Drosophila melanogaster: one gene and its partners. The protein of the gene in region 3 interacts with the protein of the main gene of each other region in a pairwise test. Each region holds a gene or a part of one and is shown on either strand. Other genes may lie near its edges.

What was found.
Region 1: the proteins of Pp2C1 (region 3) and Ssu72 interact in a two-hybrid assay, tested with the Drosophila melanogaster proteins (one large-scale study listed by BioGRID).
Region 2: the proteins of Pp2C1 (region 3) and oc interact in a two-hybrid assay, tested with the Drosophila melanogaster proteins (one large-scale study listed by BioGRID).

The regions. Positions count from the first base shown.
Region 1 is NC_004354.4:19,662,879-19,666,635, reverse strand, and holds the start of Ssu72 (Ssu72 CTD phosphatase), read right to left. Parts: upstream 2,076-3,757; 5' UTR 1,991-2,075; coding exon 1,764-1,990; intron 1,702-1,763; coding exon 1,443-1,701; intron 1,385-1,442; coding exon 1,283-1,384; 3' UTR 1-1,282.
Region 2 is NC_004354.4:8,648,997-8,652,753, forward strand, and holds the start of oc (ocelliless), read right to left. Parts: upstream 1,686-3,757; 5' UTR 1,379-1,685; exon of another isoform or gene 1,098-1,378; intron 1-1,097. UniProt on the Drosophila melanogaster protein: Transcriptional regulator involved in pattern formation and cell determination in the embryonic CNS and larval imaginal disks.
Region 3 is NC_004354.4:4,684,854-4,688,610, forward strand, and holds the start of Pp2C1 (protein phosphatase 2C), read right to left. Parts: upstream 2,051-3,757; 5' UTR 1,304-2,050; coding exon 259-1,303; intron 1-258.

The DNA of each region.
Region 1 (3,757 bases), about 15 Mb from region 3:
TTAAGTGGGCGCTAAGTCTGTCGGCATATCGGCTGCTATGGAAGTTTATTTGGTACCCCAATGGGACACCTTTTAAGTCCCCTTCAATAACTCTATTGCTCACATACCACATGTAGCCCAGATGCATGTCGTGCCGCTCCCGATTGTCTTACTCTAATACTCTGTTCCCCACACTTGGATATGGCTTTTATTAAGAGAGCCTTAGTTGCCATATGGAGTTTGCTTGAGTGGAAAACCCAGTCCAGCTTTTTCAGTTTCCAGGAGCCGTGATAAGGGCTTTCCAACTCAGCGTCCGATCAAGGTGAACTCCGAGGTAGCAGTGGGATGAGACGTAATCAATGGTATTTCCGTCGAAGAGAAGACCTAGGCAGGTTTGAGGTCGCAGGGTAAATGTGACACAGGCCGTCAACAAGAAACCGGCATAAATTGGCGTGCACTTTTATTCCAATCCTTAGTGAACACAACTCCCCTGTTGTTTATTTTCTATTGCAAGCTAGCGCCCGTTGCGGGCCTTTGCCTTTGGTTTAAAACGCACAGCCCCAACCAAGGTCGGTCGGGTTTGCCCTGTCTGAACAATTGGTAAAACTGTGTAAAATTAAAAAACGCGGCCCCTGCCCGCGAGGGCCCAGACCGTTCCGCCCCTGTGTGGCTCTCTGGCGTGCATGCTCATTCACACAATCACGATGCGAGATTTCACTTTATGTGAATCGAATCCGAATCTGAGTCCGAATCGGACTCAAAGCCGGGCGAAGAGAGCGGCAGAGCGGCCGAACGGGAGAACGGGTCGGAGTCAGATGGTCGGCGCCTTCGCCAGCTGAGGGAAGCGAGAGCCTGTGATAAGACCCCCAGTCGACGGGCGAAATTACAAGGAATACGGACACGTACACATACTACTACAGGGGTTTTGGGGGGCAGCCGTGTGGAAATGGTCGTCATTGGTTGTGTGTTATATTCCAATTCATTAGCCAGTTGCTTGCATGTGTGGTGTTGATGTGGATTACGAATCAGGTGTTTGGAGTATGCGAGTGTGTGGGTGCTGGTCGTTGTTGGATGTGCTTTCGCTGCAGCGATGGCCCCTCTCTATTTACAGTATTCTTATATGCTAGGCTACCAATCCGGAACCCAGGATCCGCACGCGCTGCGCGCAATGCCCGACGTCCTATGCTCTGCGATCGCAGCCCCTGGGGTACAAGATCGAGTGACTCGGCTGGAGCGCGTCGGGGCTACGGGAGTCTGGTGTTGGTGCTGGAGCTGGACACGAACTGTTAGCAGACGTCGGTCGTCAGTAGAAGAGCACCGAGTGCAGGATGACCCGCTTGCGGCGCTCCTCGAACTCCTGGATCAATTCGTCGATGTCGTTGTCCAGGTCCGTGGACTTGGCCATCTGCAAAGGCACAAGAATCGTTGGGCGAATTGAGGGAATGGACGACAGATGATCATACCATGTTTATCATGTCTGTGATGACAAAGGCGCCCATTAGCGCATCTTCAGCGTTGTCCACCACATCCACGTTGAGAACGTGCACGGGTCGGTTGTCCACGGATTCCATGGACTCCATGTGCATCACCACCAGGTCGTAGACGCGCTCTTCCACAGTGACGATGATGTCGAACTGCTCTTTGGTGTCCTGAAACCGTTCCGGGCACTTCTTTATGCGACGATTGCGGTCGAGCATGTGTAGCAGGCCGTTCTGTGTGTAGCTGTAAACAGGACGAAAGGGCAGGGATTAGCCAACGGTAGGCCGGAAAAACGAATAACTCACAACTCCTTGTCCTTGGACTCCAGGTCGCGGTAGATGTCCTCGTATTTGGTGCCAAACTCGTAAACATTCGGCTTGTCGAACGCCATGCCCGGTAGCTTGACGCGCTCGCCGGTGCCGTAGGAGCGCACATTGAAACCCTTCTTGGCCAGAAAGTTGTGCGCCTCCATTGAGCGATTCATGTTCGAGGAACAGACTACGGCGACGGCGAGCTTGCTAGGATCAGTCATGTCTCTTTCTCTTTGGCAGTGCGTTGCAATCGCAGTCGTCGAAAAATATGTTCATCAAATTGGAGATGGGATGGCAAAACCACGAGCACGAATATCGATACGATATATTCACGAACATACATTTAACGTGTTAATCTGAAAACACGCGATTTAAAAAATTCTGCAGTGTTTAATTGAACACGTTGACTTCACGTTCAAAATATTCAAAAAACCTAAAAAAAATATACGTTATAACAACTGATAATTAGTACGGAATATTTAAAACTAATTATGTAAAAGCCTCGAGTTTTTGAAACATTTTTGGCCAAACAAATACATAACATACATAGCTACTTAACATAATTAAAGTTCGAGGAGTCCTGCAGCATTAAATATGATCAAACTAACAGCTGGCAATTACCTATCGTAATGTCTTAAAACGTATTTATAATCCTGCAACTTGTATAAAATGAAATATCTCATACTACCCTTAGCATAAAAAAGGGCTCCCCCTGGTTAATATCAATGTTATATCGAATAATTCCAATTTATTAAATCTATTTTAAATTCGAAATATTTTTCTGGACTCCAGCTCCACTACTATTGACACTTTCAACTAGTTATATCGATTTCTTGCCGCCAGTTTACGAACTTTTCAACACTGTCGACCAGTTCGACGCAGTCTGGCAGCGTTGGCGGTCAATTCTTATTTTTGAATCCAACCGAAGTGAATTTGGATACGAAAAGCGCCAAAACTGAGTTAATCTAACTATAAGTGAATTTTGTTACTAAAGCGCGAATTTGAACTTGAATTGAAAGCGGCTTGCAACACCCAATGGCGAATTTCGCCGTCCCAAGCGCATAGGCAACCGCAGTAGTAACCGACAACAACCTTTCAGTTTGGAGCTCGTGGAATGCGGCTGAGCAACTTGGAGCCGTTGCCTCCATTCTTTACCTGTGTGTGGAGTGAGGCAGGAGGACTAGAAGCACCATCGCCACCAGCGGCACCACAACCAGCAGCAGCAGCAGCCGCCGCATCGCGTGTGTTGTGAGTTAAGCAGGTTTGCGGCACAGTGGGTCGCATTGCTTGGCACTTGCGACAATATCAAAACAACCGTTTCTCCCCTTTCCAAACAATTAACAGATTGAAAAGCGTCTAAACTTCTTTTCACCTTTTGCTAACAAAAACCTATTTCAAAAAATATTCCCATTGAACCCAATGCCACGTCATTCTTGCTTGATAATTTAAAATAACCTTTATTTGTTTATTTTATATTAAACCGTAATTGTAGCGTCTTTGGGCCAAAAACATTTTAAAGTAAGCTTATTGTATATCATTTTATATTATACTTTGACAAAAGTGACACAACACAATTCATATACGTTTTGGATATCATTATACGGGAATAACATTGGGACAAATCTTGTAGAAAAAACAAAAAATATTTGTGCTAAAAAGCTACCATTTTGGCCATGATGTTCCACTGTGCAAAGCGGCGTTTGGAGCTGGAATTGATATTGGAATTGGCTCGTTCCACTGCTCACCTGTCCGTGTGAGCAGCGTGTGCATGAGTGGGTGAGGTGAGAGGAAGAGACAGAGACACACAGCGAGAGCGAGAGAGAGAGGGAGAGAGGACCCAACTGGTTGGTCGAATAGCTGCCGGCAGTACCGAAGTTCCTGAGATCCAATATTAGTCGTACTTTGTCACTCGATCGGTCAGGGCGTCGTTGTAGCCTTCGTTGTCGTCCACTTGCCGCCAAATCGGAACGCCTGCTGGCGGTGCTTGG
Region 2 (3,757 bases), 4.0 Mb from region 3:
CAAAGTAGCCAGCGAGGAGTCAACGTATTATTCAGATATTTTAATTTATAGCCGCCGCTTTGAAATTAGACGATCCGATCGCTAACATCGGGAAGTGGGAATGTGGTGATGTGGGGATGTTGGGAATATGTGTGAATAATGTGACCCGAACGGGTCCGTCGGCTGTCTTCTATTGTATCTAGTATTGATTTTCTTGGGGTTTCTTCGCCGTTGGCCCTATCATTTTGTTAGCCTTTTTTCTATATCACATTTCTCGTATCGATTTGGTCGGCTCTTGCTGGCTTCTTTTTGTTTTGCCTAATTAGGGGAGGCGGCCTTAATATGCCCATTAAAATTATGAAAATCATAACGAATCTCCGAAACGCGCATTTTCTCACATTACGATCAGCACATTAGTCATAGGCGGAAATTTCCTGACCGAAACCAGATTTTTAAAAAAAAGGCTCCATCATATCACGAAGAGCTGAAGGAACTGAAACAAAGTTTCGGGCATGGAATAGGTAACTCTATTGTTGGACTTGGGAGTCCCCGAAATCAATGAATAGTATTCCAATTAAAGACTTCTAAGATCCATTGAATCTGAAGCTAAATAAAGACTAGTATATGTGGCAAAATAATATCGGTTGATTATAGCATTTGGAAGAACATTTTAACCTTGTAAATATATGTAGAAGTGTAAGTGAAAAACAAAAGATCTGTCAAGTTCGGCTAATCGAAAATAGTGAACCAAACATATTATAACATATCTCTAAAGTCTGAGCTTTATAATGAAGAATGAAGATTGGCTCAAGAATAAAGTTGAAGCGATAACGAAAAAGAAAATAATTAAGCTTTACAGCGTGTTAGATCTTTCAATATTATTCCAAGTTTAAAGAGTGTATTTCAAATATGTCATAGATAATGTAAGACTTGTGACCTAATATCTCTGCTAAATAAACAAGTTGATAAGAGTAATCCCTAAGATAGATTCCCGCTCCCCCAAAAACTACTTAGGTCTACAGATTCCCCATGTAATCCGTGCTTATCTCTCGGCTCCACATTCCTTGCTGGATATATAGATTGCTACCGATTTCTCGATATCGGCGGATCGCACTCACCGAAAAAAAAACACAAACAAAACTAGAAGCAAAACGGTGCTGTATTCCAATGGTGACTTGTTTTCGGATCCAACTACTATATGGTTATGGCATGAGTATATTTTACACATGCATATATATAAAGATATATATGTATATTTATATATATATAAATATTGTATTCCAGAGATGTATGTTTTTTGGGCGATGTTTATGGTTTAGCACTGGCAACACGGTAAAAAAACAGATTCTCGTCACTTGGCACTGCGTTATATCCAAAAGGATATATCTCTCTGTATTACTTAGTATTCTCCTCTGGGGCTCTTTGTTTCTCTATAGCTGTGTTAGCTATAGCTTCTCGTGTTGATATTTGTTTATTTGTGTTTGATTGGTTTAGTTTGCTTCGATTTGATTTGATTCGGTTTGGCGACGGCGAATTGATTGTTGTTATTGGCTTGCGCTGGTGCTTGCTTGCTTATCGGCGAACGCGGCGAGTGGCGAGAGCGATCGAACGAGCGGCGAACGGGGCGAATGAGCAACTGAGCAACTGGGCGACGGACGACGCACAAAAACAACCCGAGCGGCACGAAAGTTACTCTGGAAATGAATTGCGGTACACCTTCCACGGACGATGGCAGCGGCGGCAGCAGCGCAGCGAGCAGCGGGCAGAGCAAAAGTCGTTCGACCAGAGTCTGCGAAAAAAGAAAAACAACAAGAAAAAATGTTGGAAGAAGAAGCAGGAAAAAAACAACAAACAAACACCAGCGGTGGTGGAAACGAGAGGGAGAGCGAGTGAGTGCCTGCTTTTAGCAATGGCTGCCCGGCTCTCTACCGCGCGCCAGAGTGAGATAGCCGTAGTTTCGCTCCGTTCCAGTCGTTCAGTATTTCGCTCTCTCTCTCTCTCTCACTCTCTTGCGGCATCTCTCTCGCACGCCGCTTACAACCTGACTGAGTGGGAGCGAGACAACTGCTGGTGGTACCGTTTGCTGAGCAGCTGTATTTACCGCTGTGTTGTTGCTGCTGCGCGTGTGTGTGCGCGCGTGTATGAGCGTGTGTGTACGTTGCTGGTGTGCGTTTGAGTGTGGGACCACACCCCAAAAAAATTCAGTTCAACAACTTTGTTGTTGCCACAAGAGCAAAAAACGAGGAGCAAAAAATACATAGTCATAAAAGGAGGAAAAAAAAGCAACAACGTACCTTCGTATTTTTGCGCGGCAGCAATGAAATTTTAATGAAAACGACAAGACAGCGAAAACAACGCAAAAATTTGTTAGCTAACAGCGAAAGATAAGGAAACGGGGGTAGGTGGCGACGGGCGTTTAAAGGACGCTGGTCAGTACCGCTACTTTTGCTACTGCTGCTGCTACTGCTGCTACTGCTTCTTCTTTAGCTTCCTCCTCTTCTACTTCTGCGTCGCAAATTGCCATGCACACACAACACCAGCGGCGAAAGCGCGACAGGGATGGGGAGAGCCAGCCACTCACACTTGGCACGCCCCCTCTCTTTCGCCCCAATGGGCGGCCCCCATTGTTCAATTATCATTTACGCAAAGTGAGGCGAAAAGAATCGAAACTTAAGGTGGATTTGGGTTTAAAGTCTAGTTTGCTATTCGTGGGCTAAGAATTGCTCAAAAGAGGTCTTTAATAAATGATTTCAATAGATATAGCTATTATAATTATGATTTAGTTTTGCAAAGCGGTTTTGTTAGTTTTAATTTTCAACTAGCTTATAATTATTAATTAGCTTATTTATAAATTCTCTACCATGGCAGTCTAACTGTAAATGATATTTTCGAGCAACCAACACTTTTTGTGCCCAAACATTTTTTTCTGTTATATTTTTGCCTTGTAGCTGACGCAGGAATAAAAATTCGCAGAGTTGGGTGGTTTGGGGGAGCAGCGGAAAAAACCTTATCAAATTTTTATGACAATTTGAAATAGCTGACGACAGTTGTTTGGCCATCTCACTCGCACTAACGGCCCGCAGGTTTGGGCGGCGAGAAAATGTTGCACAAATATTTTATGGATTTTTCTTGTTGAAATTGCTGTGTGCTTATTATTTTTTTTTTATCCAGCTACCGCACTTTTCCCATTTCCAGGCGGGCAAATTAAATTGTTGCGGCTAATTGATGTGTAGATGAAACATGAGGCAATTACCCTTCGAGGGGAAAAGCTTAGCGCACAAATTGGGACTCGGACACAACGAACGGGAAATCTCGAAAAAAAAATTGTACAGAGAGCCCGAAATGAAATAAAACAAAAACCTAATTTTCATGAAAAATGTTGCGGGGAAATGTAAAATGTTTTTGGAGTAAAATTCACGGAGGCAAAAACTGCGCGCAAATGAAAAAGTTTTAGTTAGACAAAAACTGTAATTTACTTACACAATTTACAAATAGTTAATTTAAACTTTCAATAGGAAGTTTGTTTTTTTTTTCACTTCAATTTCAATTGTGAAAAACCAAAATTGAAATAAGACTTTAACAATTATAGGTCTTATCTTTTGGAGTATATGTAAGTAACTAACGCGTAAATTTCATTACATACGAATAAAAACTACAACTGCCAACATGAAAATTGTATCTTTTTTAGTTCGGCCTTTTTCAGCGTCAGCGAATAAAAAACGCAAAGCAAGTAAAAAACCGATTTGAAAATGAAAATACTCAAAGTTGAGCGCACATA
Region 3 (3,757 bases):
CTGACAACGGGGACTTACGCGGTTTGAATGCCGCCAACTGGCAGTTAATTCAGTTTTCGCGCATCTCTAACGGTCGCTTGGCATTGGCAACAATTTTGATATGAAATTGCATGAGAGAAGGCACAAAAACAAATACAAATACAAGTATATTATATTCTCTTTTTTTCGTATGATTTAAAATCTTTATGCCAACTAACTGCTTTCTTTGGGTTGTCTCAACTGTAAGATGGCTTAGTTTCCCAGCTATTTCTTGCTCACCTTGTTCCCGCCACATGGCGAAATGTGTGGCGATGTATCCCTCGCGTATTGCCCGCAGGACATCCTCATCCTGATCAGACCAGAACTGCTTCTGCTTGACGATCTCGAGCATAAGGTGCTCCTTGGCGAAGAGCGCGGCCTCGGGACCGCCGTGTCCGTCGTAGATGCCAAAAAATGCGTATTCCAGTTCGTGGGTGATCGGTGATTCCTGGTAGGCCACCGAGAACTGATCCTCCATGTATTTCCGGCCTCCCTGGCAGCATTGTCCAGTTACGCGCATATTGACGCCCAGGGAGGAGCACGGCGACGGATTGCCGGTGGATGCGCTACTTCCTGTAGCGGAGCTGGAACTGGAATTACTGTTGGAACTGCTGCTCGAATTGGAATTGCTGCTGCTGGCACAGCTCTCTGGAATCGATCGCGGTGGAACGATGGCCGCCGACCGGCGTAATCGACTCTGTGCCGCTCCGCCGCCCCTCGAGCGATTTATTGTTGTGGTTGTTGCTGAGTTTAAACGTTGTTTCTTTGGATTTAAAGGCTTGGCTGGTGATCCCCCCTCCATATCGACGACTATATCCTCGGCATATGCTTCCATCTCGGTGAACGCCAGGTCGGGAATGGGTATGCTGATCCTCTCTGGCCTTTGCTCCGGCTCTTCCTCTTCCTCCTGTGCGACTCCTACCGCTGCCGGTTCAACAACAACAACATCACTGCTGGCATCCAGTGCTGGATGGCATGCACTGTTATTGTTGTTATTGCCGCTGCTGCTGCCGCCGTGGCGAGTAACGGAGGCTGTGGCTGGAGCTGGTGCTGGAGTTGTGCCGCCGTCGTCCCCATAATAGTTAATAATATCAAATTCCACGGACGACTCATCTGAGTCCTGGAAAGTACCGCTATTCGCTGCCGTCTCTCGCAAACGGACTACCGTTTTTTCGATGGCCGTATTGATGAGGCATCTGTTGGTGGTATTGGTAGTGGCGTTGATTGTGTTGGCATTTGTGTTGGTATGGGTGCTGGTGCTACTCCTGTTATTGGCGGGCAACATCTTCCTGCTTCTCCCTCTGTTATTTTTTGTGGTTTTCCCCCGAGTTTTGTTTATGCTGCCTGCTGCTGCTTCTTCTTCTTCTGCCTTTTAGACTTCTCCGTCTCGCAGTGTTGTAATTTCCGTTGACATTTGGCACTCTCACACACACGTACAACGCAACACAACACAAAAAAACAATAAAAAATATATAAAGTACAAGAAGAAAAAGCGACTCAGGCCTTTCTCTCTCCCGCTCTCGCTCTCGCAGCCCTCGCTGTGACGGGCAGTGCAAGCGGGACGACTATCTATATGATGTATGTAATTTACGTTCGCCAACGAGCTTGCGTGTATGCGTGCTCCATCTAGCGTATTTAGTATTTTGTGTTTGCAACTGGCCGCCAAAAACCGATGAATTTCCTTTAATTTGCACCAAATCGAGGATTTATGAGTAGATTGTGATTTCTGCTTTTGCTTACAGCAATAACGTTAAAAGACATCGGTCTTTTATCCTCGATGAAAGACTTAATGACCAAGGCGCGCAGTTTTACCTTGATGATTTGTTGTTCGCCAGCATTTTTTGCCGTTCGATTCTGCTCTCGACTTGCGAACACTTTTCTTTTTTTTTTATTTTAATTTTTTTGGCTGTCAGCACGTCCACATCCACACACACAACAAAATTCACGGCAAATTGTTTAACAAAAATTATGTTGAAAAAAAAATCAAATAGAAAGCGTGTGACCGTTGTGAAAGTAGGTCGAAAACACCACGCTCCATAGGCGATGTATAATGCTGGCAGCACACCAATCGATAACAACGAGGACGGGGTTGCAATCGATGAATGTATTGAGTGCATTATTTTTAAGATTTTCGTAATTTATACACTTATTATAAGTTGTTATAAGTAAGTTTTCTCTGGCAATTAAAATTTGTTCTAACATTTAAAAGCAATAAGTTTAATAAACAATGTCTGGTCTCCATAATGAATTATGATAATCATAATTGAATTCACAATAAGCTGTTTAAAAAAAGGTAACGATTTTCTTATTGCACATCTCATTCAAATACATTCATATAGCTAAAGTCGTATGTTTATAGCGATATATATGAATACCACAAGTTACGGATAACTAACGAGATTATTAAGAATACAAATATTATTTTGGGTACTGTATATTTTCAAACGTTTATATCATTTTATAATGCATTTTTTGACAAACATATAATTATAAATGTTTTCATTTATAAAAAAAACTAATTGTATCATTATTATTTTACATATGCTTATTTTAAATTAGTTTATTACTTGACGCAATAAGTATGTCAATGAAAAAAAATTTGGAAACAAACTGGTTGTAATTTATAACATTAAAGATATGTTTCATTATCCGTCTCAGCTTTTATATTCTCGTCAGTTACATGTCGATTTCTTTTGAAACTATGTTGCATCATACAAAATTTAATCGAATGTACAATGTATGGCTTGGATTTCTTTAACATTATTATTGTAAATAGTTTTAATTACTTGCAATACAAAAAATATGTTTTTTTTATCGAAACACCGCTAGCCAGCAATAGTAATTCTTTTATATAAAATTAAAAAAAAAAAATGTATACATAGATGATAAAATAAATCGAGTGCGTGCGATAAAATAAATTGATATTTGCGATAAGCTAAATCGAATGCACCCGAAAAGTCAGCTGCTTGTATCGTTTAGAACTCCTATATCAGTGATGTCCGTCTTTAAATTGCATTCAATCGAATATTGAATACCGGTTATCGAGTGCAGGATTTCAGAGAACATATTTGACTTTCAACAGTTTTACGCGGATTTTAATTCCATACTCGACAAAATATTCCCCCGTTACTAGTCAATTATTAGCATCCCTACATCGGTAAGTGTTATCGAATCGATAATAAGCATCACTGGTGCCAGACGTCGCCCGCCAAGCGTGGCCTGCCAGACGCGGCCGTGTTCTGGCCAATCAGAGCCGCCTACGACTCGTATGTTGGAGCTCGTCGTCCGTCGTGTGATTAACCGAAGTCGAAAACCGAAATAGAAGCCGTCACTCAGTTAATCACCAGCAAGCAAAACGTTCAGTTGTGTTTCAGTTGTCGAGAAGTCAGGGTGTTTCTACCTTCCATTTACCGTTCCAGTGTAAAATTCAGGCGACACGCTTAGCGGTAAAAAACCCACACATCCACGCACAATAAAGTATATTGGGGCAAATGTTTTTTCAACCCGGTTCCTAGAGATCTTCTGAAAAAACAATTCCCTATCTACTGTTCTTTTTTTTCTCGTTCTCTGTTCTCAAAGTGAAGTAGCCGCGGCGTGCTAAATTTGTATTGCGTGCAAAATTGTTAAAAAAAAAAATAAACCGAAAGAGAAATAAGCAAACACATACACACGCATTCCGCATTTTTCCTGCCCACAACTTTTTTTTTTTAAGTTCAAATTTGGTATTGCATTAGAATTT